Schizosaccharomyces pombe: one gene and its partners. Changing the gene in region 1 together with any one later gene gives a genetic interaction. Each region holds a gene or a part of one and is shown in the gene's direction. Other genes may lie near its edges. The genes, in order: SPOM_SPAC1B3.02C, imp1, htr11 and sap114.

Evidence for each region.
Region 2: mutations in SPOM_SPAC1B3.02C (region 1) and imp1 together harm fitness less than expected from each alone (positive genetic interaction), as found in Schizosaccharomyces pombe (one large-scale study listed by BioGRID).
Region 3: mutations in SPOM_SPAC1B3.02C (region 1) and htr11 together harm fitness less than expected from each alone (positive genetic interaction), as found in Schizosaccharomyces pombe (one large-scale study listed by BioGRID).
Region 4: mutations in SPOM_SPAC1B3.02C (region 1) and sap114 together harm fitness more than expected from each alone (negative genetic interaction), as found in Schizosaccharomyces pombe (one large-scale study listed by BioGRID).

What each region holds. Positions count from the first base shown.
Region 1 is NC_003424.3:4,926,213-4,932,922, reverse strand, and holds SPOM_SPAC1B3.02C (Elf1 family transcription elongation factor), read left to right. Parts: upstream 1-3,377; 5' UTR 3,378-3,406; coding exon 3,407-3,472; intron 3,473-3,513; coding exon 3,514-3,560; intron 3,561-3,603; coding exon 3,604-3,674; intron 3,675-3,822; coding exon 3,823-3,962; 3' UTR 3,963-4,751; downstream 4,752-6,710. Other genes in the region: GTPase GUF1, read left to right, coding at 1-1,420, 1,572-1,610; cyclophilin family peptidyl-prolyl cis-trans isomerase Wis2, read left to right, coding at 1,908-2,978; SPOM_SPAC1B3.01C (uracil phosphoribosyltransferase), read left to right, coding at 5,005-5,103, 5,325-5,827, 5,920-5,977; protein Min8, read right to left, coding at 6,051-6,128, 6,194-6,264, 6,313-6,385.
Region 2 is NC_003423.3:3,913,040-3,919,014, forward strand, and holds imp1 (importin alpha family nuclear import signal receptor adaptor Imp1), read left to right. Parts: upstream 1-3,515; 5' UTR 3,516-3,586; coding exon 3,587-5,206; 3' UTR 5,207-5,475; downstream 5,476-5,975. Other genes in the region: srb7 (mediator complex subunit Med21), read right to left, coding at 11-261, 314-343, 397-490, 532-573; exoribonuclease Rex4, read left to right, coding at 1,657-1,689, 1,764-2,513; F0-ATPase subunit atp4, read right to left, coding at 5,730-5,975. UniProt on the Schizosaccharomyces pombe protein: Functions as a component of the nuclear pore complex (NPC).
Region 3 is NC_003423.3:502,054-512,426, forward strand, and holds htr11 (serine protease), read left to right. Parts: upstream 1-2,297; 5' UTR 2,298-3,869; coding exon 3,870-6,863; 3' UTR 6,864-7,003; downstream 7,004-10,373. Other genes in the region: SPOM_SPBC1685.04 (uncharacterized protein), read left to right, coding at 820-1,797; poly(A) polymerase Cid11, read left to right, coding at 7,449-7,842, 7,889-8,931; vacuolar amino acid transmembrane transporter Avt5, read right to left, coding at 9,151-10,373.
Region 4 is NC_003424.3:1,170,074-1,177,520, reverse strand, and holds sap114 (U2 snRNP-associated protein Sap114), read left to right. Parts: upstream 1-3,072; 5' UTR 3,073-3,365; coding exon 3,366-3,492; intron 3,493-3,541; coding exon 3,542-3,848; intron 3,849-3,911; coding exon 3,912-4,228; intron 4,229-4,313; coding exon 4,314-4,688; intron 4,689-4,731; coding exon 4,732-5,051; 3' UTR 5,052-5,170; downstream 5,171-7,447. Other genes in the region: dihydroxyacetone kinase Dak1, read right to left, coding at 1-456; ept1 (CDP-alcohol phosphatidyltransferase class-I family protein), read right to left, coding at 1,740-2,763, 2,814-2,950; cardiolipin synthase/ hydrolase fusion protein Crd1, read left to right, coding at 5,395-5,522, 5,565-5,621, 5,665-6,159, 6,251-7,017, 7,060-7,214, 7,261-7,352. UniProt on the Schizosaccharomyces pombe protein: Involved in pre-mRNA splicing. May be involved in endoplasmic reticulum-associated protein degradation (ERAD) and required for growth at low and high temperatures.

The sequences.
Region 1 (6,710 bases):
AAATTTTTATATGGCATTTTCCCAAAACTTGGTCATAATTCCAGTTCTGAACAAGGTTGATTTGCCAACTGCGGATGTGGATAGAACTTTGATTCAAGTTCAGCAAACTTTTGATATCCCTATGTCCAAGCCCATCCTAGTCTCTTCTAAAACGGGAAAAAATGTCGAACAAATTCTACCGGAAATCATACAAAAAATTCCTCCTCCCAAGGGGTCAGAAAATGCTCCGTTACGCTGCCTGTTGATAGACAGTTGGTACAATAGCTACCAGGGAGTTATAGGATTGGTGCGAATTATGGAGGGCTTTATAAAAAAAGGAGGAAAGGTGATGAGTGTAAACACAGGTAGAAAGTATGAAGTACAACAAGTTGGAATTATGTATCCTGACATGACCGAAGTTTCGCGTCTTCGAGCAGGACAAGTTGGTTATATTATCTGGAATATGAAAAATATTGATGAAGCAATTGTCGGGGATACATATTCAACCATCGGATCTAATGTTGAAGCATTACCTGGTTTCTCTATTCCCCAATCAATGGTTTATGTTGGCGCCTTTCCTTTGGATGGCTCGGATTACGAGAGACTAAATGATAACATCGAACAATTGGCCCTTAATGATCGTGCTATTAATGTACAAAAAGAAAACTCGTCTGCTCTTGGGATGGGATGGCGTTTAGGTTTTCTTGGAACGTTGCATCTTTCTGTCTTTATTGACAGATTAAAGGATGAATATGGAAAGGAATTATTAATCACTTCTCCCACAGTACCGTATCGCATAAAATATAAAAATGGAAGGGAAGAAGTAATATCGAATCCTAATCTATTTCCAACAAATCATCAAGGTATATCTGAGCTTTTAGAGCCCACCGTCGATGCAACAATTATAACACCGAGCGAGTACCTAGGAGATGTTATCAAGTTGTGTGAATCTTGTCGAGGACTCCAAAAGGACTGCACTTATATGTCCGAATCGCGATGCATGATAAAATATCAATTACCTCTTGCTCACCTGGTTGAAGATTTCTTTGGTCGATTAAAAGGGACAACAAGTGGTTTCGCTACCTTAGATTATGAAGAATCGGATTACGTTCCTGCTGATTTGGTGCGACTATCAATTTTTATGAGTGGAAAATCTGTAGATGCTCTTTGTTCTATAGTGCATCGCTCGCTTGCACTTCAGCGAGGCCGTGAATGGATTCAACGGTTGAAGCCGTTAGTTCCTAAACAACTATATGAAGTAATACTTCAAGCTGTCATCGACAACCGAGTAGTCGCCAGGGAGTCTATCTCGGCTCTTCGAAAAAATGTCACAGCAAAATGCTACGGGGGAGATGTAACAAGGAAGCAAAAGCTACTTAATAAGCAAAAGGAAGGGAAAAAGAGATTGAAGTCAGTTGGAAATGTTTCAATTGACAAATCGGTAAGTAATTACATTGCCTGAAGACTTCATCGAAATATGTTTTAAAACTATTAGGAAACACAATTTTGTGTTTTAAAATTTAAATACATTGTTGACTTCACTCAACAGCACTTATATTTCTTTATAGTCCGTGTGTGCTAACTTAAATCAGGTATTTTATGAATTTTTAACGAAGAAGCAATCTAATTGAAAAAAGTATAAATATTTTTTGGTCTAATAAAAAGTCAAATTTTCTTCTGCTAGCATTTTTTTAATACAGTATGTTTCTAGAAGTTTCGTAGAAAATCTCTTCGCAGTAGGTTGCAAATATAAATCACCACCTTTTTAATAACTAAAACTAAATAGTTTGCACAGATCTGTATATTTCGTCTGCGTAAAATCGCTATTCATTCTTCTTCTTAAAGCAACTTTGTGGTGTGAATACACTGAGGAGACTGGCAGTGAAATATCATTACTTAAAAACGATCATTGTTTTTTTTTGCACGAAATGAGTACTTACGCCTATTTTAAAATTAGCATTGATGGTAAAATTCAACCAACAATCTACTTTGAACTTTTCGACAACGTAGTTCCCAAAACTGTCAAAAACTTTGCTTCGTTGTGTAATGGGTTTGAGAAGGATGGCCGTTGTTTAACCTACAAAGGTTCAAGGTTCCATCGAGTAATTAAGAACTTTATGCTTCAAGGTGGTGACTTTACTCGTGGTAATGGAACGGGTGGAGAAAGCATCTACGGCGAGAAGTTTGAGGACGAGAACTTTGAGCTCAAGCATGATAAGCCTTTCTTGCTTTCCATGGCCAATGCCGGCCCTAATACCAATGGATCTCAGTTCTTCATTACTACTGTTCCCACCCCTCATTTGGATGGAAAGCATGTTGTTTTTGGCAAGGTAATTCAAGGAAAATCTACTGTTCGTACCATTGAAAATTTGGAGACCAAAAATGACGATCCGGTTGTACCTGTTGTTATTGAAGAATGTGGAACTTGCACAAAGGATCAGATTGAGGCACCAAAGCCAGACGTTACTGGTGATTCTCTGGAAGAATTTCCTGATGATTACGAGGGTGATAAGTCCGAGACTGCCATTTTCAAAATTGCTAGCGACTTAAAGGGAATTGCTAACAAGCAATTTGCTCAGCAAAATTTGGATACAGCCGTTGCCAAATGGCAAAAAGCTTTGCGCTACCTAATGGAATACCCTGTTCCCAACGATGACTCTAAGGAATCCCCTGATTTCTGGAAAGAGTATAATGCTTTACGATACAGCATATACGCAAACCTTGCCCTTGTAGCTTTGAAGCAGAACAAACCTCAGGAAGCTATTCGAAACGCCAACATTGTAATTGAGGCCAGTAACTCTACTGAGTTAGAGAAACAGAAAGCATACTATCGTTTGGGTTGTGCTCAAGGTCTCTTGAAGAATTTTGAAGAATCAGAGAAAGCACTTGCTAAGGCTGGTAACGATCCTGCAATTTCAAAGAAGCTTGCAGAAATTCGTCAAAAGAAAAAAGATTATAAGAAGCGCCAACAAAAGGCCTATGCTAAGATGTTTCAGTAATTCCAAATTAATCGGCGTCACGTGAATGCTGAGAAGTCAATTATGTTTTACGTTAATTTCTAGTTAGTCAATGAGAGTTTTATCGCATTTACAAAATAACCATAGAAGGTCAACTACGTTGCGAGAAAGAGTGCAAGATTTACTTATGGAGGATCTGGCTTCGTTTGTAAGACTGGTATGCCTACGTTTGCGTTTCATACAGCAAAGTATCATCATGAATAGAAAGAACTCTAGAAACAAATGTGCATCAGTAAACTCAATAAGAATATCATATTTAAACATTTAATTCATTAAAATTAAATAAGACCGTCTCTTACCAAGTGTCGAAATTACATGAGTTTCCGCATTACCCTTCCTAAGGATGAGAGTGCTAATGTGAACCCGCTAATACGAATCTGCAGTTTGCAAAACGTAAACAGATTCTGCAAATGGGTAAAAGAAAAGCAAAAGCAAAAGTGAAACCCAAAAGAAGGGCACCCCCATTAGATACGACTGTGAGTTATAGTTTAATTACGAAATTTACTAACTTTACTAGTTTACGTGCCTATTTTGCAACCACGAAAAAAGTGTGAGCTGTAGTCTGTATGCTTATTAACTACTTTCATTTTTTTTAACACTTTGATAGTGATAAACAATCAGGAGTTGGAAATCTACACTGCAAAATTTGTGGTCAGAGTCATCAATGTCTAATTACAGGTATGAAAGAGGTGTTTTATTTCAATAGCGGCACGTAAATTATTACGATTAATATTGCGGTTAATTTCTTTTATATCGTCTCTTTATCTTCTTATTTCTTGTTCTTTTATGAAATTTTCTTGTACACTTATTTACTAACATTATCAAGCTCTTTCGGCACCCATCGACGTATACAGCGACTGGATTGATGCTTGTGATGCTGTTGCAAATCAAGCTAAAGAGGTTGATAATATAAATGATCAAGAAGCCTATTCCCCTGAAGCAGCTTATGAGGAAGAAAAGGAATGATTTTTTGCTATTGGCCTAACTTGCAAAAGGAAGATTCTTTTCAGAGCTTAAATGTTGAAAGTTTCCGTTCATTTATGGTGATCTTATTTTCGTTGATGCTCAGTCGTTTCAATTAAGAGATTTCTCTGAAGCGATAAGAAGGTATTAACTACATTGCAATGAACAAGACGCTGTATTTGGCAAAACCGGACGAGCTTAGTGTATACAAATCTAGGCATGCTCTTGTATATATTTGTCCTTTTTAAAGACGTCGAACATACGAATTTCGAGATTCCATCTGATGAACCGACAATTGGACGATAGTGTTAAGCTTATTTGTTGGTATTCGGATGTACCATCAATATGGGTGTGATATCTTGCTCATTGGCAAGATAGCCATTTCATTGCTTTGTTTTTGGTTTGGTAGAATCGCTGTTCACTATGACAGGCTAAGAATTACGAGTGCCTAGAGTGTGGTTGACTTCGACCTTGTACTTATTGTATTCTCCATGTACAAAAAATGTCTAGAATGAAAGAGATATGAAAATATGTTCATGTGTTCTTACTGCATTTGATTTAAAAATCCTTACAATACAACTCATTTCTTGGTTTCTTGTGAATACAGTTGGATGAATTGAGAATTACAAGTAAAAAACATTGAAATCCAATTAAGATTGTAAGCTGCATGGAGTCCAATTGTATGAATGTGTGCTTCAAAAATTTGTACTGTCTTTCTCATTCTTAAATATAAGCAGTAATTCATTTAAAAACATCAACTTGCCCTAAAATATGTTCAATAGTTAATTGATATTCTTATTTAATTTTGCCAAGCCTGCTAGAGTAGAAATCTTTTACTGCGCTAAGTAACGCATTAATCATAATTATGTTATTATGAAATGATGTTGTAAATCTTTATTTATGTTTAACGAAATATACTAAGGTTGATAAAACTCATTTTGCTATTGATAGCTTAAAAGCAAATGTGTTATTGTGCTTTTACTTTTTACCATTTACTTGGTAAACAACTTGATAGGTAGATATTTAAGCATACATCGTCAAAAAGATGTCGCTGGTACCTGAGCATGGAAATGTGTACGTACTAAATCAGACAAATCAATTAAAAGGGTTGTTTACCATCATTCGTGATAAAACGAAACCTCGTGTATGCGCGTTCAGTTTACAACAGATTACTGAGTCAAGGTCTAAGAACTAATTGAAATGAATGTGTTAATATGTCCAAGAAATTTTAGCTTTTTCCTCTATTAATGGGGAGATAAATGTTTATCAGTGGATGATAGGAAGCATTCATTATCAGTTAGTACATTCGACAACTTCTCGTGTATTCTTTGTTGAATCTGTTATCCCTGCTAACATGATATTTAGTCTGAATTTATTTTTTATGCCAATAGAATCATTCGTTTAATTGTTGAAGAGGGCCTCAACCACTTGCCAGTGTCTTCAGCTAAGGTAACGACTGCTCAAAATGCTGAATACGAGGGTGTAATGTTTGATGGTCGTATTTGCGGCGTTAGCATTATGAGAGCTGGCGAAAGTATGGAACAAGGATTGCGTGAATGCTGTCGTTCTGTTCGTATTGGAAAAATTTTGATACAGCGTGATGAGGAAACTCATAAACCTGTGTTACACTACATCAAGCTTCCCGAAGATATTTCTAAACGCTATGTCTTACTTTTGGACCCCATGCTAGCCACTGGTGGCTCTGCTATTTGTGCTATGGAAATTCTTATCAACATGGGTTGCAAACAAGAACAAATCATTTTCCTCAATGTAATTGCCTCGCCTGAAGGGTTGAAAAATGTTCACGATCGTTTCCCCAATATACGTATAGTTACCGCCGTAATTGATGAGGGACTCGACAACAATGGGTATGTGCACGATACACTACAAGTGTTCATGAGGTCAATACAAAGTTGATCGCTATTTCATTCATGAATAATCTTTAACACATATGATTTAGATACATTGTTCCAGGTCTTGGCGATTTTGGAGACATTTACTTTGGAACGAAGGCCTAAAGTTGCTTTGAAAATTTGCTCAATTAAACACACAACCACGCACTAAACATTAAAAGACTAATTTTAACAGCACTTAATGAAATTGCGGTTTCTTAACTTTTGTCTCTTCTTTTTGTTGTGTTTGTGCTACCCAACTTGGTGAGCGTCGAATCTGTAAATATAGGTCAGTGGCCGTTGTTTAAATAGTAATAGAAGTTTGGAAATAATTGTACATACTTCAGGATCAGAATAAATCTTATATCCCATGGTAAATATTGCAGTGGACCCAGCAATTCCAATGAGGATTGCTAAAATTCGTTAGTGATTTGACAAATTCGGTTTTCTCAGTAACTAACCCAGAGGTTTGAGCTCAAAAGGAAGCCTTTGAAAGGCCCTGTAAGGTTTCATAATTCTTGATAAAACTGCCATTTGTACACTTAATAGTTAAGCATTCAAAGTCTTCTCTTCAACTTATATTGGGTTGCCCTTCCTCCTGGTCTCGTCATTATTGCTTTACTTTGGCCACACTTATGTAAAGTGGTATATTGACGAACTAACGAGGCATATTAATATATCATAACAAACGGGGTTGCTTACTGTGCGCTAAGAGTACTGTGTGTGTTGATAAAATTGCTCAATCGATGGTGTTGCAATGTAAATAATCAATTTCTAAAATGACGACGAAACAGTTATCGCAGATGGGGAATTTTTTTTCCGCGTATTACAAATGTTGTATTACTCTTTTTGTCTATCA
Region 2 (5,975 bases), on another chromosome or scaffold:
CATATTATCATCAGGGCTGAAATAGGACACATGATAACCGGCCAAATGTTTCAATCCTCTTGGCCAATTGTAATTTTAAATCTTCATTTTCTGATTCTAAACTCTTCCTCTCCAATTGTTTTTCTTCAATGGAGTTTTGTAACTTTTTAATTTTCTCTAATTGATGTTTTGGTGCAGTGGAAATACCTGGAAGTTGGTTGATCAAAGTGTCTATTTGCATAAATTTTGTAACCAAGTCTTTTGCTAGATCCCTTTGAGCGACTACAAAAAGAAGTTAGCACATAAAATGACTAGAGGACGTCTAATATCGTACATTGTAACTCTTCAGCAGAAATTGGGTTCACTAATAATTTGTTAGTAGCTACTTTGAATAGCATCATAATGAATCTTGTATACCTTTAGAATCAGAAACCTTTTCTTGACCAGGTAAAGGAACGAAATCATGATGAGAACTTAAATAATGAATGGAAGAGTAAAATTGTGTGGCAACCTACATAGGTTAGAATAGAAAAAGAAAACTAGTCCCATTACCTCATCAATTGTATCTTGAAGCTGAGTACACCTACATGCCATTTTTTTATGTAGGTGTAATATGAGTTAAAAAGAGTTGAAAGTCGCAAGTTGTTGAAGGTCCATGATGCAGGTAACAATTGTTGAAGCGCAAATGTCAAGAACAATAAATCGCTAATTAACTTTTCTGTTATTTCAGCATCGGATATTTATTATGCACAGCTTTTGATTTTATGACATTGTTTGTAATTGTAATGTATCGACCTAAAAACCGACTGTCTAGCAATCGGGAAAAAGAATTAAGCTAGAATCACGCTTGACATAAGCAAAAGAAATTTAACATAAAACAGTACATAAAATTTAAAAAAAAATTAATGGAAAGCGAAAAAAAATAAACTACAGAAACTACAGAATCAGCTAAGTATTTTTAATTAACATAGAAAAACAATGATAATAGTAATACATTCGACATATTTATTATATTTTTGATCGTGGAAGGGTGTCCGAGTGGTTATGGAGCTAGTTTAAGGCACTAGTGCGAAAGCTCGTGGGTTCGAGTCCCACCCCTTTCAGTACCTTTTTGATAATCCATTCATTCTGAGTGTTTTCATATTACGTGAAGGTGCATTGTTATTAAAATTGCAGTACTCTGCTTTTAAAAAGATAGCGGACAATGCTACAAATTCAATACAATCTATCCTTTTAAGCAAACATAAATCACTAAATGTTTAACGAATATGCTACTACGGGTCTTGAATATTCACAATATTCTTTTATTAGGAAATGCATTAACCACCGGTACCTTATAATATTCTTACGAAGTGGGTACACACTGAAATAGCTCATTGGTGACCCGAAGAACGGAGGTTAATTTATTTCATAGTCTCGTATATTTGGCAGTAGTTACATCAAGAAGCAACAAATGGTGCATCACTGTCAATATATGTATATATACTATAGATAAATAAATACAAGGCATGTGACTTATATAATGATACTTAACGTAACGTACTATCATCAACGCTTTATTCAAAATAATGAAATGTGCTAAAATGTGATAAAATATTTGTGATACCGCGTTGAGAATCATATTGAAAGAGGTTGCAAATTGCTTCTTGCACCAACTTTGGCTCTTATGCACAAGCAATGTCTTCTTCCAATTGGGAAAAGTTAAAGAAGGTATGAAAGGCTATAGTTTCCATTAAGTCATTTAAGATTCTTGTTTAAGTATACTAACGGTATTGGTTGTTTAGAAACTCGACAGCGCTAAGAGTGGACGGGTTGAAAAAAAGCATTCTAATGAAAAGAAATACCTTAAAAGTGTGAAAGGTAAAAACAATGAGAATGAGAATTCTTATATCGTCGATAAAAAACGCATGAATGAATTAAAGAAATTTGCTAAGGAAAATGATATCCCTGAATCTCAAGTCCTTGACGCATATGGCGTGGATGCTTCCAAGCTTACCAGAAAAACCAATTTGGAAACATTGGGGAAATATATTGCAATGGATTGTGAAATGGTTGGGGTGGCAGATGACATGTCAGTTCTTGCACGCGTCAGTATAGTTAATTATCATGGTCATGTCGTGTATGATACTTATGTCCGTCCTAAAGAAAAGGTTACGGATTGGAGAACATGGGTCAGTGGTGTCAAGTCATTTCACATGCGGGATGCACCTTCATTTGAAAAAGTACAAGCAGAAGTTGCTAAGATACTCGACAATCGAGTATTGGTTGGACATGCTGTCCATAACGATCTCAAAGTACTACTTTTATCGCATCCAAGAAGAATGATTCGTGATACCAGCAGATTTTCTGGGTATCGGAAATTAGCCAAGGGAAGGACACCAGGGCTTAAAAAACTTGCTGAAGTGATTCTTGGGCGTGACATTCAATCTGGACAGCATTCTTCCGTCCAGGATGCCCAAGCAACGATGGAATTATATAAGAAAGTAAAAAAAGAAATGGATGAAGTTGCATTCAAAGGTTTGTCAAAGTCATAAGCTTTGAATCACTAGACTTCGTTCTGGTCATTTGGGATTTGGGTTTAATAATATGCAAGAAAATGTTTCTTATAATTTTACTGGATATGTGTCAGATGTTAAATATATTTTCGGTTGCTTATAACAGCAATATTGTTTTCATTGGCTCTTATGAAATCGTTGGTTTTCTTTCTTTATTTATCTCTTCTGTTTCCTTCGTTTCTGGTTTTAAATAGTCAATCTATTAATAATTTTTAGTATAAATAAATGATGCATACAACTGAAGGAAAGAAATAATGTATGGAAAAAACAAGGATATAGAGATTTATCAGCTTCGTTTATATGGTCTTCATAATTACTTTGTGAATTAATAAAGTTAATGTTATATAATTAGATTACTTCCTATAGTGTATATGATTTAGAGCATTTTAACTGAATGACGATAATATGTTTTCAAGCGCCGTTAAGTTAATTCCTAAATTTATATAAATACCGAATTAATCTTTATTATCACAAAAAAAATAAAAAATATATATATTAATAATAGCTACCAAATAAATTCTAGTTAGACAATGGACCATTAATGTATACATATTAATAGCTTACAAAACAGATACGGAAGTGTTTGAAAAATAAGTATTTATTCAAAGATTAAATTGCTCAACTATATGTATTATATAATCAAAATAAAAATAAAAATAGGCCAACTTGACAGGTTGTTTAAAGAAAAATTCCATTTGTTTTTAAATTTTGAATTCTTGTTATAGCATTCAGCTTGTTAAAAACCCAAGAAAAATTGGTTGATGAGCTCAATAAGCATGTTGTTTTACCCGTTTTATGGTGCGAAGGTTTCCAATGACAGAACAAAAATGATCTAGAAAGTTTCAACGATTTGAACCGGAAAATGATATATTTCAAATTATTCTAAATTTATTATTTTTGAACATTGTTACCTGGGTGCCGGCTGCTTCTTGGAACGACACAAGTGCTCTTTTACCTCCTTATTCTCATTAAACTCGCAGCAACCACAACTGTCTTAGATAACTAAAAAAAAAAGAGTAAAAAGGATATCAAAAAAGTTTATTCCTATAGAAATGGAATCGAGATATTTATCAGATAGAAGAAGCCGTTTTAAAAGCAAAGGTGTTTTCAAAGCTGATGAACTTCGTCGGCAACGTGAAGAACAGCAAATTGAAATCCGCAAACAAAAACGTGAGGAAAGTTTGAATAAACGAAGGAATTTAAACGCTGTTTTACAAAATGACATTGATGTGGAAGAGGAGGCTGATCAGTCTCAGGTTCAAATGGAGCAACAAATGAAAGATGAATTTCCTAAATTGACAGCTGATGTGATGTCAGACGACATTGAGCTACAATTAGGTGCCGTCACGAAATTCAGGAAATATCTTTCTAAGGAGACGCATCCCCCTATTGATCAGGTAATTGCTTGTGGTGTTGTTGACCGGTTCGTACAATTTTTAGAAAGTGAACATCACTTGCTTCAATTTGAAGCGGCTTGGGCCTTAACAAATATCGCTAGTGGTACCACAGATCAAACCCGTATTGTTGTTGATTCCGGCGCTGTTCCTCGTTTTATTCAATTACTTTCTTCACCTGAAAAAGATGTCCGTGAGCAGGTTGTATGGGCCCTCGGTAACATAGCTGGCGATTCTTCTGCCTGCCGTGACTATGTACTCGGTAACGGAGTTTTACAGCCTTTACTTAATATTCTTCAGAGTAGCGCTTCTGATGTTTCTATGCTCCGTAACGCTACATGGACACTTTCTAACTTGTGTAGAGGCAAAAATCCACCACCTAACTGGTCAACTATTTCTGTAGCCGTTCCAATCCTTGCTAAGCTCCTTTATTCTGAAGACGTTGAGATTATTGTTGACGCGTGCTGGGCCATCTCCTATCTTTCTGATGGACCTAACGAAAAAATTGGCGCCATTTTAGACGTTGGATGTGCGCCCAGGCTTGTTGAACTTTTGAGCTCTCCCAGCGTTAATATTCAAACTCCTGCCCTTCGCTCTGTGGGGAATATAGTAACAGGTACTGACGCGCAAACACAGATCATAATCGATTGCGGTGCTCTCAATGCATTCCCTAGTCTTCTCAGTCATCAAAAAGAGAACATTCGTAAGGAAGCTTGTTGGACTATTAGCAATATTACTGCTGGCAATACCCAACAAATCCAAGCAATTATTGAAAGTAATCTTATACCTCCATTGGTCCATTTACTCTCATATGCCGACTACAAAACAAAAAAAGAAGCCTGTTGGGCTATTTCTAATGCTACTTCTGGCGGTCTCGGTCAGCCTGACCAAATTCGTTACCTTGTGTCACAAGGCGTTATTAAGCCACTTTGCGATATGTTGAACGGATCCGATAATAAAATTATTCAAGTTGCTCTCGATGCCATTGAAAACATACTTAAAGTTGGTGAGATGGACAGAACTATGGATCTTGAAAACATTAATCAATACGCTGTCTACGTTGAGGAAGCTGGCGGTATGGATATGATCCATGATTTGCAATCCTCCGGAAATAACGATATTTATTTGAAAGCGTATAGCATCATTGAAAAGTATTTCAGTGACGAGGACGCAGTTGAAGATTTGGCACCTGAAACCGAAAATGGCGCCTTCACATTTGGCAATGGCCCTCAAGCTCAAGGAGAATTTAAATTTGATTCTCAAGATATGGCTATGTAACGTTTAAATTAATTTTAAAAAAATTTTTTTTGTTCTAATCGAAGCGCACATTATTTACATGTTTCACTTAGACAAATTCTGTTTTCCATTACTGGTGCTTTTGTTGGGTTTGTATTTCTTTTTTTTACCCTCTATTTTTAATTCAATTTAGCTATTTGTGAAGCTAAGTATTTCTATTAGGATTAAAAACTACGGTTAAATAATATGTTTACGAAAAAAATGAGTGTACTACTAAAACAGAGCGGTACAGGTAAATAGCATGATATCACTAAAAATGTTTATATTCGTAAGAGCTGCAACTAGGCAAAATAGAGAAGGGGGTTTAGGATCAAAGAAAATAAAAATAAAAGAAAGCAGCGGGGACGATATACACTGTTAGGTTCAAATGACTTCGACTAATCGGTGAATGCAATTTGAAAACCAATAATGACGCAAATTTTTGCTAATAAGCATATATGCAAATCAAATATGACTGAAAAAAACTGCAGCTGTCTTATCGTATTATGTCCCTCGAAAAAACAATTTAGGCACTAGCTAAGACCTTTTCGATTTCACCGAGACTTTCATTGAGAGCATCCTGTTGGAACTTTTGGGTAGAAACTTTGCTGTTGACACGAGCCAAGACATCTTCAACGAGACGTTCCTGTTGTTCAGCGCGAACGTTGGCTTCGTGATGAACCCAGCTATCCAACACTGATTTAGCTTCTTTAGCTAAAGCAACTCGCTGTTCGAGCTCAAAGATCTCAGCCTCCATACGGGCAGTTTCTTT
Region 3 (10,373 bases), on another chromosome or scaffold:
TCGATTATTATTACAAATCAAACACGTTTGAGTATTTCTTATTTTTATAATCCATATCTTTAAACGTTTCTTATTTTAATATATATATGGAGTCAGTTAAGTCATGGCTGGAACCTGGCGTTATTTAAAGGTCGGTTCACGTGGATTTCAACATTGCATTTAATCTTTGCGAAAGGATATACCTTCATTATTTCTTTTCTTTGATTTTACTAGATTTATTGGTCTCCCCGTCTTTTGGTTGTCGCTTTTTCTTTTACTCGGATGTGTGTATGAAAGGCGACGTATATTTACGTTATCAAAAGCCTTGCTACAAATATACTGAATCATATAGAAATACAATAAAAAATTGAAATAATAGACACAACAGGATATTCAAAAGTTTTTTTGGTGCCAAAAACTCTAAGATGTTGTAAGTTTAGTTTAATATTTGGACTGAAGTTCATGATAGTAGTGGCGCTCCTAATACGCAATTTTAGTTGACTAAAAAAAATATTTGAGATAGAGAAAGTCTGAATTGTTATTAAAGGTCTACTGGCTTCATAAACACAAGTTCGCGACTATTCAACATTGTTCCACTATAGCACATAGACATTTGCACACACTGATAGTTAAGAAATACATTTTACAGTGTGATTTTGAACGGATTGGTTTCTTGAAAAGATAGGAAGACTGAAAAAATAAAGATTCGTATATAAAAAAAGCGAAAAACTTACACTAGTGATGTTGAATGCGATATAATTTTCTGTTATGAAGAAAAAAGGGTTGAACTTACCAAATTTACGCATTTACTAGATTTTTCGTGTATTATACCTTTTTAAAATGAAACAAGAATATATTCCGCTAGACGAATTCCCAAACAAGTCTAATGAAGGGATGCTGAATGATGAAGGTACCTCTTCTTCTGGCTTATCGACAAGAACGCGTAGCTTAGAGCTTTTTGACAATATGGAAGAAAGTGGCTCCTTTCCAAAAGTGGAAAGGAAAATACAATCGCTTTTGGATGAGCTGGCTGAAGTGTTGTTTCAATCTAAACAGCCCAACGACTTGACCAGGATTCGAAAAGCCATCGCTGAGCAGTTGCAGTTATGGTGTCAAGCTTGTCAAGAAAACGCTGATTTATATAGGAGCCAGCAAAGGAAATTGAAGAGCCGTTGGGACTCGCAGACAGACATTTTATCCCAAATTGAATCGACCAAAGCAAGTCTGGCAGAGGTGCACAAAGCGGAAGAAATATCGAATCTAAAGACAAGCATTACACATTTAGATGAGGAAATTCAAATTTTGCAGGAAAAGTTGGCGATTGTAACGAACCAACGAAACACCCTTGTAAAACGACTCCAGACTTATGATAATCTAGAAAAGAAAAAGGCACTCAGTATGGAAGATCGCCTTTTAACTCTGCAGGAGCAGTATGATGCACATGCTAATGTATCTTCCCTTGAAAAACGGATGGAAGTATTGAAGAAAAGAGAAGATCTTTTGCGACTAATGGTCGGGCAAGCACTTCCAGGAATGCAATTCTTCCAACGTTTGATCCATCAAATCCAAGCTGTCGAAACAAAACTAATCTCAATACTGGGGCCTACTTCTTTATCAGAAGCTGCTTTGCCTCCATTAACTGACGTTCAGCGCACTAGTGTATTATCACTCTTGACCTCGACTCTTCACTCTTTGGAGTCGGCGAGACAGATTGCTGACTCCAATACATGGAAGCCAATCATTGTTTGTTTAGAGCTCGAAATTGTATATTTTGAGAATATGCTTACTGCGATAACCTCGACTCCCGTTTCTTCCTAATAATTTAATTTTCATTCCGTATACTATCAATACAACCTTCTAATATTAAAATATGGTCATTCAATGGCACAATGCATTCCTTGGCGTGTTGACCGACAGCCTTACTACTTTTACCCTGCACGGCTTCAAGATACCTGTTAATTGTGGAGAAATATATATTTCATACATGATTTTACCTCCAGATTTTCAGCCTCATCTAGCACCACATCGTTAAAATCGTATATAATATTTATTTCAGCTGTATTTTCGGCATGATATTTATTTAATAACACCAACTTTGATCATCTTTGATTTGTCTTCTCAAACTCTCTTCTACACAACAAATGACAAAATGTTAAAGTAATGCGAGTCGAGTTCATTAGTGATTCAATTCAAATATGCTATTGAATGCCTATTTCCATACTTAAACTGTCAATCTCCTACCCAAATCAAACACTGTCATAATAAACATCCCTGAATCTAAAGCTACCTTAATAATCTTTGTTTTGTCTTGTTCAACCATCAACCTACTACAAACGAAACAGTTTTCAAAAAGTAACACCATTTTAGTTTTCAAACAATTCTACGCTAATACCACGTACATTCACTTTCGGTTCACATAACCGATTCTGTCAAACATCCTCAGAATGTCGTTTTCCATTTCGAACCCATTCTTTCAGTTTTCCATTTCCATTCAATACGACACAGTCGTATGAAGATGGATTCTAGCTTATTTGCAAAATGTCACGGAACCAAGAAATCCGATTTTGAACAAACGACATTGCGGCTCCTTGTTCGTCGCAATCCTCCGTTTGAGTGAAATTCATCGAAATCACTTCTAAAGCTACGCTGTCTTATTTTTGCCGCACTCGGACTTTGACATCACTCTTAAAAATCATCGAGCAATAGAATTGTTGATCAAACGGCTTGCCACGCACTTTGTCTGCTGGTGGTATGAGACGCTAGTGAAGTTAACTATTACAGCAAACATCGTTCACCTACATATATATTGAATTGAAAGCCCGCGTTGCCGATGGGCAAAACGAATGAAACAAGAATCTTCCAATAGCGAAATTTAGACATCATATCGCAAATATTACTTTTAACTGCGTAGTTTAAAATTCAGGATCGAGCTTATCTGCAAAAGAAAAGAAAGGGAGATCATTGTTCTACGCTTATTATCATAGCATTCCCCGATTGCTACTGACCTTATCAAAACTATTCTTGCAAATCCCATTCTCTTTTCGCTTCGTTTTTGTCCATACAGTGGAGTTTGGGAATTTTTAAAATCTTTTCGTTTTTTTTACGGCTTACAAGATTTAAAATTTCTCATTCATACACTTGATTACTTATTTTATTGTTTCGTTTTTGTGTGTGTATTTTGTTTCTACTTGTCGTTACTCCTGTCATTTTCGTTTGATTAATTAAAAAAAAAGATATAAAGGCTAATCTTTTCTTATCTCTGAATTGGAAAGGATTTCTGCAAACTATTCAAGCCACCGTCTGCAATTATTATCGTTATCTTGCCATTGGTGTGTCAGTAAAGTGAAGCAGATTGTCAAAATATTTGATTTACTAAATATATTATAACTGTTTCAGGTAAATTATCTTATTGCTTGAGTAGTCAAATTAAGGATACTGAGATTTCTATATAGGAATTCCTTCATATATCCATCTGATAGCCATTGCGCAATTGATTTGTAATTCCTTGCAAACAGACATTGTTGTATGTTTGTATAACTGAAAACAGATCTTTGTCGCTATATAGTGTTCTCCATTTATCCTACAAAAAAGGCTTACAAGTGTCAGTACTTGATTGACTTTTCGAGTTTTATTTGGCCTTGATAATTAGTATTTCGCGGCTCGTTTAGAACTTTGCTTGTGTTGCCCAAAAGTTATTATAAACTTTCATTTGTTATTTAAATTCGTTTATTCTTCCAATTAAAGCTTGTCCAGTTTACAAAGCAAAGCCTGTTAAACACTATCGAGATTCAAAAGTATACCTAGTGTTCAACCGCTTTTTCTTTGTGTTTGTTATAAATTTCTGTATCTTGTGCTTTTGTTTACATTCTTGTCGGTTTCTACCTTTCATCATGACTCCAGTTTCCTCCGATTATCGGCCTAATCACATTTTCCTACCCAAATTTCGTCCTGATAAAATTACTTCTGAATGTAATACGCCCCAGCAACAGAATGTTATTGCTGAAGGTTTATACAATGTTAGCGAACCATTTCCCATTCGCAATACAGATGAAGAACGTTATCTAGATACCAAAGAGATTCACCATACATGGGATAATACGATTAAAAATGTTGTTCGAAGTATCGTTTCCATTAAAGGCTCCGCATTACGCTCTTTTGATACTGAAAGCGCCGGTAGTTTTTGCGCAACTGGCTTTGTCGTGAATAAAACACTTGGTCTTATCTTATCCAACAGACACGTTGTTTCTCCAGGACCCATTTCAGCTCGTGCCTCTTTCATAAACTATGAAGAAATTGATATTTATCCCATCTACAGAGATCCTGTTCATGACTTTGGCTTCTTTCGTTATGATCCATCTTCCATTCGATTCCACGATGTCACTGAAATTTCACTTTCCCCTGAATCAGCCAAGGTAGGTATAGATATTCGAATTATTGGTAACGATGCTGGTGAAAAATTGTCTATTTTAAGCTCCACTTTGGCTCGTCTTGATCGTCCAGCTCCAAACTACGGAATTGACAACTACAACGATTTTAATACATTTTATTATCAGGCAGCTAGTGGAACTAGTGGAGGCAGCTCTGGCAGTCCTGTTCTTGACATCTCTGGTGCCGCCGTTGCTTTAAACTCGGGAGGATCCAACAGCAGTGCCTCTTCTTTTTATCTTCCTCTGGACCGGGTTGTTCGAGCTTTGCGATGTATTGAGAACAATACTCCTATTACTCGTGGTACTCTTCTTACCGAGTTTTTACATTGGTCATACGACGAACTCAGTCGCATTGGCCTTCCAAGGGAATTTGAATACGATTGTAGAACCCGTGTTCCTAGTAGTACTGGTCTTTTGGTTGTTTCGCGAGTTCTCAGAAATTCTGAAGTCTCTAAGGCTTTGGAACCTGGCGATATATTAATTGCTTTCAAAACAGACTCTCATAAGTCTACATACATTGTTGATTTTGTCTCTTTATTCGAAGTTTTAGATGAAATGGTCGGTAAAACGATTGAGCTGCATGTTTATCGTCCTAAACGTGGTTTTTTAACGTTTCAACTGACTGTACAAGACTTGCATAACGTAACGCCTTCACGCTTCTTGGAAGTCGGAGGCGCGGTGCTTCACGATTTGTCTTATCAGCTTGCTCGTTCATACCAATTTTCTTTAAATTCTGGTACATATGTGGCTTCTTCTGGTATGCTCAATTGGTCCTCTGGAACCCGCGATTTTTTAGTTACCAGACTTGCCAATAAACCCACTCCAACTTTGGATGCTTTCATTGATGTTTTGGTCCAGTTGACGGATAATGCCAGAGTGCCTATGCACTTTAGAGTCCTTGGTAAATATGAAGAAGAATTCACGATAGTGACAGTTGATAGACACTTTTTCCTGGCTAGCATCTTTTCAAGGAATGATGAAAAAGGGACATGGGACAGACAAAGTCTCCCTCCTCCTCAGCCGTCTATTTCTCGCCGACCTAGTGTAATTCCGAGACCACAAGAGGGATCCAAAAGTATGGAAGCGATTCAAAATGCATTGGTTCTGGTTCATTGTCGAATGCCATATAGCATCAACGGATTCAGCTCTACTAAGCTATACAGTGGTACCGGAGTAATTGTTTCTGTAGTGCCACCATTAATAGTTGTCGATCGTTCTGTTATACCTGTTGATATTTGCGATATTCGCTTGACCTTCCAGTCGATGAGCGCCATGGGTCATTTAACTTTTTTGGACAATAGAATTGCTGTAGTCTCGTGCGATTACTTGCCCAGTAACTCTGTGCAACTTAACTTCGTCGCTGATTTCCTGCGGACAGGAGATGAATGCACGCTGGCTGCTCTCGACGAAGATTTGCAATTGCTGACAAAGAAAACAACAGTGCGAAGTGTATCTGTTGTTGAAACAGAACGCTCTTCTCCACCTAGATTCCGGTACGTAAATTGCGAAGTCATTTCTTTAATGGATTCCTTAGCTTCTACTGGAGGTTTAGTGTTTCGAGAAGTAGGCGACGATCGCGAAATAGTAGCACTCTGGATATCTGTTGTTCACCAAGATGTTGGTGGAAAAGACTATACCACTAAATATGGTCTTTCAATGTCTTACATTCTTCCCGTTCTCGAAAGGCTTAAGTTACCACCGTCAGCTCGTGCGCAGCATGTGCCAACAACAGCTGGGGTGGAATGGTCACATATCACTTTGGCAGGTGCTTCTACACTTGGATTATCCCAAACCAGATCGTCTGAATTTTATATGAAATCCAGAGAAAACGGTACCATCCCTCGACCTTTATATGTGATTTCTCATTTGCGCCCACTACTTCACAAAACGTCTCTTGGAGTCGGTGATATTCTGTTGGAGGTTAATGGAAAGATGATTACTCGTCTATCGGACCTTCATGAGTTTGAAACCGAGAGTGAAATAAAGGCGGTCATCCTTCGCGATGGAATTGAAATGGAAATAACAATTCCCTTGTATCCCGAATATCCCACTTTTAGTTCTCGTGCAATTTGCTGGATGGGTGCTATCATTCACCCAACGCATTCAAGCGTTTTCGAGCAAGTTGAGCCTGATGTTGATCTTCCTGGACCTGAAGGGGTTTACGTCGGCAGCATATTATATGGCTCGCCAGCTTTGAATATGCTTCGTGCAGCGCATTGGATAGTTGCAGTAGATGGTCACGATATTAACACTTTTGACGATTTCTACCATATGTTGTTAGAGAAGCCTACTGATACTTTTGTTCAGGTTAAGCAAATGAACCGTCGTGGTGCTACTAGTATAGTCAGTGTTCGACCAGATCCCTTATTTTGGCCTACTTGTATCATTGAAAGAGATTCTAATGGTAGATGGTGCACTAAACATTTACAGCGTAAGACCAAAGAAGTTTGTTCTTAAAATTCCTTATGTCCCTTTGTTTGTATCATATCGATTTGCTATTATATGCCTGTTATGTTTCATGAATGTTAACGTATATTAACTGTTCTTCAAGAACTAGTTGAAGAAATGAAATTTTTCTTTTTAAATTTTGTTTTTAGACCAAAACTTACGTAGCTCTGCACTTTTGAAAAGTATATTTATCTATGTTTTATTACTCTAGTAAAGTATTATGAGGATTTATTTTAAGCTGGAGCTGATTATTTGAACTTGGAGCGGTTCACTTGGTTGCTATAATAAATTGAAATGTAGATTCACATACCATTATTTGCAAATTCGGCTTAGGTTATTAGGCGTTAATAAATCATCATTTAATATTTTTTAAGTTAATATTTTTATTTAGGAGGCTTAACTTACTATAAATAACTATATTTGTTTATGAGCATAAAGTTGGTCATGTAAACAAAGGGCTCATTTGTTTATACTTTATGTGATGAGGAATATATTCCAAGCACACAACTCTACACACTTTAATTTTTGCACAATAGCATTGATGCTCAATTATTTTTAAAACCACCTACAGAGGTTATCAGAATTTTGGATAATATGGAGTTATTGACATTTACTTGTTGCCCTTTTGAAGGACAAATGCAACAAAAAAAAAGACGTTTTGATGCTAATCTAGTACAACTACAAGAATCTGAACATAGAAATGACCAAATAAATGAAACAGTGGATGCTGAACTGACTAACGAGTGCTGGAAATTATATATGCGACTAAAACCTTCTAATGAAGAAGTATCCAGGCGTCAACAATTTGTTGACAAGCTGCGCACTATTTTAAGTACCGAAATTAAAGATGCTAAATTGGATCTCTTTGTATTCGGATCCACTGAGAACAATTTGGCTATACAACAGTCGGACGTTGATGTGTGCATTATCACCAATGGTAGCAAATACTTAAACTCAACATGTCAATTGGCTCAATTACTTTACTCTTGTAAGTTATCAGTATGTCTATTTTAATTAAGCTAACCAGGAAACAGATGGCATGAAACAAATTGTCTGCGTTTCAAGAGCACGAGTCCCTATAGTTAAAATTTGGGATCCACAGTTTGACATACACTGTGACTTAAATATTAATAACGACGTGGCAAAGATTAATACTAAGATGCTTCGTCTCTTTGTCTCAATCGACCCGCGAGTACGGCCACTAGGATTAATTATCAAGTATTGGGCAAAGCAAAGGGCCCTATGTGATGCTGCAGGCAGCGGAACAATTACATCTTATACAATTTCTTGTATGCTGGTAAATTTTTTGCAAACGAGAAATCCCCCAATCCTACCTGCAATGCTCGATTTAATGAGTAATGATGATAATAAAATGTTTGTTGATGACATTGTCGGGTTCAAGGAGAAAGCAACTCTCAACAAAACATCTTTAGGGAGACTTTTAATAGATTTTTTTTACTACTATGGATTTTCGTTTAATTATCTGGACTCAGTGGTATCTGTGAGATCGGGAACTGTACTGAACAAACAGGAAAAAGGTTGGGCCATGGAGGTGAACAATTCTTTATGTGTCGAAGAGCCTTTCAATACTGCTCGAAACCTTGCAAATACTGCTGACAATCCTAGCGTCAAAGGACTTCAGAGTGAATTTCAGCGGGCATTTCGACTTATGAGTGAGAATAATGCATGCGAAAGGTTGTGTAAAATATGCGAAGAATATCAATTCCTAGATATTACCAATGAGGCAAATTATGGGAACACGAATACTCCTTTCAATACCGCCTATGAATCATTTGGTTGCAATCATACTGTTTTACCTGAAGCTGCTGCATATCCAAAACCTTATTATCCTCCTCAAATTACCCTATCCGATGGAGGAAATATGAACTTTCTCTACTACATACCGGATGAAAGTAACCATCAAAGCTATGAAAACAAAGCGAACAGAGATTCGGACTTCCAGGGCCAGACCTCGTTGACACAAGGTTCAGCTCCTCCATGGCACTATATTCCATGTCAATCCTGGTTAGTATGGTACCCATCTGAAGATGCATCAAATCCTGCGTCCGGAAATTAATTCAAGCAATGCACCAAGGAAGTAAAAGCAAAATCCGAGAATGTTTCCTAATGGTTAAGACATAACGAACAAGTAATTATGAACAAGAAAAAGAAAAAAAAAATTAAAGAGAAATAGCGTTTAGTATTTAATGGAATTTGAATAATATTTTCGAGCGAAGTGCTAAACGCATAATTAAGAAATAAATAAATAAATTGGAAAAAGATTGCCAAAGTAAAATTAATGAGATAACTTTGCAATATTAATATTTAAGCACAAAATCATAACAACTGTGCCATAAATAGCCAGTCCAGCAGCGAAGGCCCTGGAAATTCGTAACTGTAGAGGGCTGCTATTACCTGGGGAGGCAACTTTATGAGAGAAAAAATAATACAAAGATCCAGGAAGAATAAATGAAATAAAAGTACTACCGGTACTTCCAACAAAAGCTAAGACCATTTCAAGAGAAGACAGCAAAAGAGCCAGAGAGTGAGTAAATAACAATATGCATAATGTTATTACGGCATGATAACCATCACTCATATCATGAGCAGAATAAGAGCGACGTATAGCTTGGTAAACAGAGTTTCTGCATGGATGGCATTGAAGGGGATAACTAAAAAGGACTAGTACAACAATAGCGAGCTTTCCACCAATAATCCAAATACTGGTATTATCGTACATTGCGATAATATTACCTGATGCCAGAGATCCAAATGAAAGATATCCCGTAATAGCCACAAGCAAGTACAAAAGCGTAGAAGAAATAATAGCAGTAAACATAGTAAAATTGACGAACCCTTGAGAGAAATTTCTGACCTCATTTATTACACTGAAAGCATTTTGATGGCAAGTGAAACCGAAAACGAAAACGGGCAAAACAGATAAATAGCCAAAGCCAGACTCAGGAACAAAGTAGCGGATTTCTCCTTTTACAGTATCCCCGATGATAAAATGATACAAAACAATAAACACAAGGTAACAAAGAGCTATAAGGCTGATCACAGACGTATGCCGTAAAGAATCCAACCTCTTAAGAAACGAGAGTGGAGTAAGCACGAAAAGCGCAAAGACAATCCATGTTTGGCGCCTAAGGAACATTGGAGAAGAGAGACCAAGTGATGGAGCAATTTGGGGCATTAAATCGCCTACAATAACCAAATAGCTTACCGCTACACCGAAGCATTTAACAGCAATAGAAGCGTCAAAGACAACAGCCAAAGAGGGAAAGGTGTGCTTGGCAACAGCAGCAAATGAAGCCTTTCCCCTCGGGAGTCGTGCGGCGCATTGGGAAACAAAATATAATCCTAAAAAAGAAGCGAATGCACTAAAGACGATGGTCAAACACCCAAACAACAGACCAGTCTTGGTAAACGCATTTGGTAAGGAAAGAATTCCAGCTCCCAAAATAGTATTGGCAAGGTTGATAACCGAAGAAAAGAACCCAGCTTTTCCAATATGGA
Region 4 (7,447 bases), 3.8 Mb from region 1:
AGACAAACCACGACGTCCGACCTTACCGCTCTTCTTACGACCTACTGATACGTCATCTGCAACGGCAATAAGTTCAGCCTTCTTACCAGCCGTTCTTTGCTTCTCCAAGGCCATACCAAAGTGAAGGATGTCACCGGTGTAGTTTTTGCAAATTACCAAGGTGCCAGCCTCAGATTCGACTTGCTTAATACCGGTATAAATTTGCTTTGACGAAGGAGAAGCAAAAATGGAGCCTGAGACGGCGGCAGTAAGCATACCCTTGCCCACGAACGAAGAATGAGTGGGTTCATGACCAGCACCACCGCCGGAAATGACACTGACATTCTTTTTGTTGTAGTCATGGAAATAGATGAATTTTCCCTCTTCATGAACAGTTAAAGTTTTGTTCATGTCGGCCAAGGATTTAAGGCCATCAAGGACGAGGACTTCAGGATCGTTGATAAAGTGCTTATCCATATTTTAGAATAATAAGAAAAAGGTAAAAAAAAGAGAATAAAGCCTTAAAATAAAATTAAATATAAGTTGGATAGTTAAATCAAATATTCCCGAAATTTATGATCTAAGAATATAAAATGACTTGTTTTAGGTGGTGGGGAAGTGCAAGTGTGAGTAAAGGATTAAAGAAATAAATCTATGTGTCTCTAAAATCTCAAAATATTAATATCAAAATTCCCTTCAATGCGAAAAAATTAACACTTTATACGCTACTATGCTTCAACTGGTTTAAATACAAAATAAATAAACCAAGAATATACTAGTAAACGTTTCGTTTCGTTACGTTATGTCTCGTTTTCGTTTCGCTATTTCGTAAAAGTTATGAGTGTAGCGGAAAAAGGGAGCTTGAAGACGATTTAATAATGCTGGCCTTGTCTCTCTATATATACTATATAACCACCAATTTGCATGACGAAGTGCCCCGCACGTAACGGAAGTGATATTATGCTGAAACAGTGAATAAACACATCTAGATAACCGTAGAACCGTTTTTCATACCCTTCAACTAATTACGAAATGTTGCCGATATGAACAATTAAATTAAATATCAGCTTGCCTTGCCGAAGATGACCTCAATCCATTTTCCTAGTCAAAGAAAAATTTCGCTGACCTTTTGTAGATCATATGCTAGAAAAGTAGTAAAATCGCAGCGTAAACTTGAGTCACCTTTATGTAGCAAAAGATTGCCTTAAAAGGGCAAACTCTACCAATGCCCAAAGAAGCAATGGGACAGGACGATGGCTATTTATTGAAATTGTTAAATCGTTACGAACTGCCATAAGAACCTTAATTAAAAGAAGGTTGTCGAAAAGTGCTCCGGTCTGCACATGTGGAACCAGTCATCTTAGTTAGTGCAGCCCCGGTATTCCACGGTGAAAAGCAAGTTTGCAGTGTAGAAGACAAATGGACCATTTGTTCATCAGTATATACAGTTAGTTAAAAGGATACGAAAGGCTGGATCATTTAGTGAACGAAGTCGCAAGTGAAATACTTGTTCATTATTATGTTCTGGTAAAAAAACCAACTTTTATTACTACAGCAGGAAAACAAACAAAAGTAACATATTGTTGGCAGAAAACACACAACCGAAAAAAACCTGTCTACTAGGAAATGGATCATTTTGATACTTCTGATCCGTTAGATACATTGCAGAACAAAAGATCGACCGAAAGGTTATCAATGACAAAATCTCTCTGGACCCTTTTGTTCTCATCTCTATTCTGTCCAAACCATCATCATCTAGTTCAATTCTTCTTGGACTCTGGTTTGGATGGAATAGTCAAACATTTAATGCCGTACTCTTCCGTAATCATGGCAATGACATGTGCAACAAAGTTGCCGTAAACACCAATGCAAATTCCAACGTAGCAAAAAAAGTATTCCGTCTGAACGTTTTTTAATACGCCAAAAGTATAGGCGTCCACGGCATCCACCAAGAATGGAAGAATAAGCACATTCCAGTATGGGAAGGGAGATTCGGTAATGTGAGAAACAATTACCACTCCAACCGAATAAGCAAAGATAAAAGCGTTCAAGCAAAAAATAGTGAGGAAATGATGTTCAAAGAAAGCAGGATACTTGGCATAGAGTGAAAAGACAGCCATCCATTGGAGGAAATAGGGAAGGATACCACTCAATGCTTTAATCACACTTCCGTTGTTCTTTTGGACGGCTTGAAGAGCATTTCGTAAACTTTGTAAGACATTCAATAGCAGGGCAAATGCCATAAAGTTGTACAAGCATGATCCATATGTGTAGTATGGCAGAAAGGAACGTACAAATCCCCATGACTCGGGAGTGGGATGTAGCTTGAGCCAGAAAGAATCACCCTTAATAGCTGTAAGGGCAAATAGTCCAATAACCATTACAATTCCTTCGACAGGACCCGAGAAGTATGAAAGGTACAAAGTACCCGTATGGTATTCTTCCCAAGTAGAGATGTAAAAGTATAATAAGCTGGCAAATTGAGTAAGGATTGAGCTAAACATATCTAGTTGCAGCAGTTCAATCGTCAGTAAAACTTCAAAGCTCGTATTGATGGCGTCTACTCCATGGTCAAATAATTGACCTAATGGAGATGATGTGCCAGTACGACGCGCTTGCGAGCCATCAATAGCGTCAAAACTTTGGTAAAGAAAAAGGCCAATCGCCCAAGAAGCATACACCCATGATGGGAAAGCATCCATCTCATAATGATACTTGTACACAAGCATAGTAAGGATATTGATAACAACGAATCCAAGCCCGATCAAAGTAATCAAATTAGGTCTAAGTAAAGAGTTAGTAAGAATAAGCAAGCAAACGGGTGTAGATCATACGCCATAGACATGGGAATCACCTTCAAAAGTTGATTCCACCAGTACGGCTTCAAAATATATTTTGAAAGAAGTGAGTTATCAATCGCACTATATTTATAGTTATGAAGATTCTTTAACTGCTTCCGGTTTAACTGCATCTTGAGAAACTACCTGGATATCCTTTCCTTATTCTCCGATAAAGTACTGGTAGAGGGTAAACATGTTACGCGTCTTAGTGTGTAGAAATAAAGGCAAAGCAACGAATGCAGATAAACCTTCTACCGATAAATAAATGTATAATGTAGCTTGCAAAAAAACTTGCACTATAACTATCTTTTAAATTCTAAATTGTAAGGATAATTGTTGCTATCAACCGTTTTGATGTTATTTGTCCATCCGCAGTGGATTACGGATGCCCTAGGCAACAACTGTTTAGAGCAGCAAGGTCGCCCTAAACTTTTATAAACTTCTATTGAATTTCAATAGTCCTTTCTTTTCGCTTGTCCATCGCTTCATCTGCCTTGTGCGACAAGTGTCCTTCCACCACTACCTTTTTCTGCATAAGTCTCACATATGAGTTCTTTAATGGAATTCCAAGACAGAAATACGACAAATAATGAAACAGAACACCAAAAAAGCATCACTGATCAAAGTTCATCGGTCCCTGCAGGGGTAATTTTACCTCCTCCAGCAATTCGAGGTGAGTCATAGTAATTAGTACAATAGACGCGCCTGCTAACGTAGCTTAGAAATAATTGATAAATCTGCTAGTTACGTTGCCAGAAATGGCCCAGCTTTTGAAGAAAAAATTCGCCAGAATGAACAGGCAAATACTAAGTTTGCTTTCTTGCATGCTAATGACCCCTACCACCCATATTATCAGCACAAATTAACTGAAGCGAGGGAGGGAAAATTGAAGAGTCATGCCACAGGCTTGTCAACCCAAAAAACATCCACTTTGGCTCGTCCCATTCAAAAACCTATAGAGGCAACTATTCCTGCTCCCTCACCGTACTTGTTTTCAGAACCACTTCCTTCTATTTCATCACTAGATTTGTAAGTATCATCTCAACTATTATTTCCTTCTTCTTTGAAGTTGCTAATTAACCGTGAATCTAGAGACGTGCTCCGTTTAACTGCGCGATATGCGGCAGTTCGTGGTTCTTCTTTCTTAGTGAGTCTTTCTCAAAAAGAGTGGAATAACACTCAATTTGATTTTTTAAAGCCAAATAATGCATTGTACCCTTACTTTATGCGTATAGTTCAACAATATACTTCTCTAATTAGAGAGCCCATTTCTTCGCCAGAACAGGAGCTTCGTGAAAATGTGAGAGACCCTTATAGCTTACTTTCTAAAATTCAGCCGCGTGTAAGGTGGCAATCGCATATGGAGAGCCAAAAGAAAAAACAAAAGGAAGAAGCCGAAAAAGAGAAGTGTAAGTGTATATTGAGATGCAAAAACTGGTTCAGGAAGTCCAATATTCTTCATTTACCATTTGAATTGGAACTAACTTGTCTTAGTGGAATATGCACAAATTGATTGGAACGATTTTGTCGTTGTTGAAGTGATTCAATTCACAAAGTCCGATGAACATGCAAAATTAGCTAAACCTACGAATTTAGCGGATTTACAAACTGCTACTTTAGAACAAAAGTCTGCCATGTTTACCATGCCTGACCAAAATTACACTATTGAGGAAGCTCCTCCTACAGCGGAGCCTTGGGAGCCCATAAGTGCGCCTAAAAAACAAGAATTTGGTGTTTCTCTTCCTCCATCACTTGCTTCTCCAGAAAAAGGAGGTATTTCTTCAACTACTTCAGTTTCTCCTGCCGCACAAGCTTCTCCCGTTTTGTCTACCACTACTCAGCCGAAGGTACAAAAGCCAGTACCAAAGGGTAAGTTTATATTCCTTATTGTAACTTTACTGACCCTGTTTAGCTTTCCAGCCCAAAGTTCCGATGGAGATATCGCCTTTCTCAGGTGAATTGGTTCCCGCTACAGAACTAGAAGAGCATATGCGTCTAAAATTACTTGACCCTCGCTGGCAGGAACAGCGCAAAGTTGAAGAATCTAGGAAATCAACTTTAAATTTAGAGAACGTGAACGTTGCTGCAAATATGAAAAGATTGGTTAGTCAACGGACTGATTTGTTTGACGTCCAAAACGGGGTAGAAATCTCTCAAGAGGAAATCGAACGAAGAAAACGTGCTGCTACTCAGAGCGCTTGGGGAGCAACTCCCACAAATAAACGCCGGTAGATTTCATAGAACTTTTTTTAATTTTGTTAATTTTTACTTTATTTTATTTAAGCTTCGTAGGACGCCGAAATCTATTAGTTAATTTGCTTCTACAACTCGTGAAATAAATAAGATGTAAATAAACCAGGTGTTGTAGACTTTCTCCAACTAATTGAGAATACAAATATTCTTTATTATAAAAAGTCCAATACACTAAACAAAGCTGGATTTTAACTTAGGAAATGCGGGTCTGGTTTTCATACCCGCCCACCGTCATCCTTAAGTTGTCATACCACGTAACCGCACAAACCTCTTAATTTTTTACTTCTTACATTGTTGATTCTTCATTTATCGGCTTTAATAAATGCTACATACTATCAATTATAGATCTTGGCATTTGGCTGCCAGGCAGTTAGGGCGTTCAACGTTTCGAAAGTTTACGACCGAATCGTCTACTAAAAGCCCTATTGCAGATGTTTGTTTCGCATTTGAGTAATACAGTAATTAATGATCGATTTTTGAAACTAACCAAAGCAGTATTGATGGAGTTTTAATTAGAGGAGGAAGAGGTTTGAAAGAAGGAACGAAGACGTAAGCTTAACTATGAACTACCATTTTCAAACTAACTTGTAAGTTTGAAATTTTTGCAAAAAAATAATATACCTTTTATTCTGTTAACGAATGGAGGTGGTATGCATGAGAGTGTTAGAGCTCAGCGTCTTTCCAAGACATTGAGCGTAAGTTTAACAGAGGATGATTTTTGTCAATCACATACCCCCTTTCGCGCTCTTGCGGATAAGTATAAGCACGTCTTGGTTCTTGGAGGAAAAGACAACAGCGTCCGTGAAACTGCTGAAAAGTATGGGTTTAAAAGTGTTATCAATGAACTCGATGTCATCGCAAAGTTAGGAACTCCATTTTGGCCTTTCACATCTTTTAACGAAGAAGATATTAAAGATGCAAAAGACTTTGACGTTACTAGACCCATTGAAGCAGTTTTCACTTATGTCGATCCTGTCCGACTTGGTTTGGATCTTCAATTGGTGATGGAATTGGGCCAGTCGAAGAATGGTGTTTTAGGAACAGTTTCGAAGACAGCAAATGAAGGTCCCGATATTTACTTTTCTAAGTAAGTTATTTCTTGGAAAGTATCTTTTGTGTAAAAATATTTTTGCAAGCTGTACTCGAATACTATGAGTGAATGCTAACAGCTTTTATAGTGCGGATTTAATTTGGCCTAATGAGTATCCTCTTCCCCGCTTAGGTCAAGGAGCTTTTGCAATTTGCTGTGAAAGTGTTTTTAAAGAACTTACTGGAAAGGACTTAAGAAATACGAAATATGGAAAACCTCATAAGCTGACTTATGATTATGCTAAAAACATTTTAATGAAGAAGCATAAAACTTTAGGAATCACCAATCCTCCCAAGGAAATTTTCATGGTTGGTGATAACCCCGAAAGTGATATTCGTGGTGCGAATAATTACGGTTGGACTAGTATTTTAGTACGTACTGGTATCTTCCAAGGAGACAATAGCCCTAAATATTCTGCGAAGCACGTTTCTGATAATGTATGGGAAGGTGTGCGCTGGGCTCTATCCAAACACGTTCCTGCTGCCAAATTGAACAAGTCAATGGGCGAGGTTCGTGGATTTCACACCTCTTCTCGTGTTTTAAACACTGTGACAAAAAGTAATAACAGTAAGCCTATTCAAAGGCCTTTGCGTGAGAATATTTTTACCTTGCCAAACTTGCTGACATTCTCAAGGCTCCTTTCAGCTCCATTAATTGCTTATCTTTACATTTATGATTATACTAAAGCTGCTGCTTGCTTTTTTTTATATGCTGGATTTACGGATTTGGTTGATGGGTATATAGCTCGAAAGTTTGATTTAGGCAGCATTGCTGGGACAGTACTTGATCCGTTAGCCGATAAAACGTTAATGACTTGTTTGACAATATGTTTAGCGGTGCGTGAGACTATGCCATGTATGCTTTTTGTGTTTATTAGTAATATCTAACCTTATCTAGTAACTCTTGCTAGCTTGATTATTGGAAGGGATGTGTTGCTCGTCTCGGCTGTCTCATATCTTCGTTATAAATCGTTGCCAGCACCTAAAACTTTTAGACGATTTTTCGATTTTGCGATACCAACTACTGAATTAAAACCTACCAGAATAAGCAAGGTATGTCGTAATGGTTTATTATCTACTGACTTGTGTAAACAATTAGTGGAATACAGCTTTACAACTGCTGTTACTCGGACTTTTGATTACAGAGCCCATACTTCCTTTTGATGCCTCTTTTGCCAAAAGCCCTTTATTGTAAGTCTAGTCTCCCTGAACTTTAAGAAAGTAAATATCTTTACGTTGACCTTTTAGCCCCAATCTAAAGACATGTTTTCTTCCCATCTCTTCCT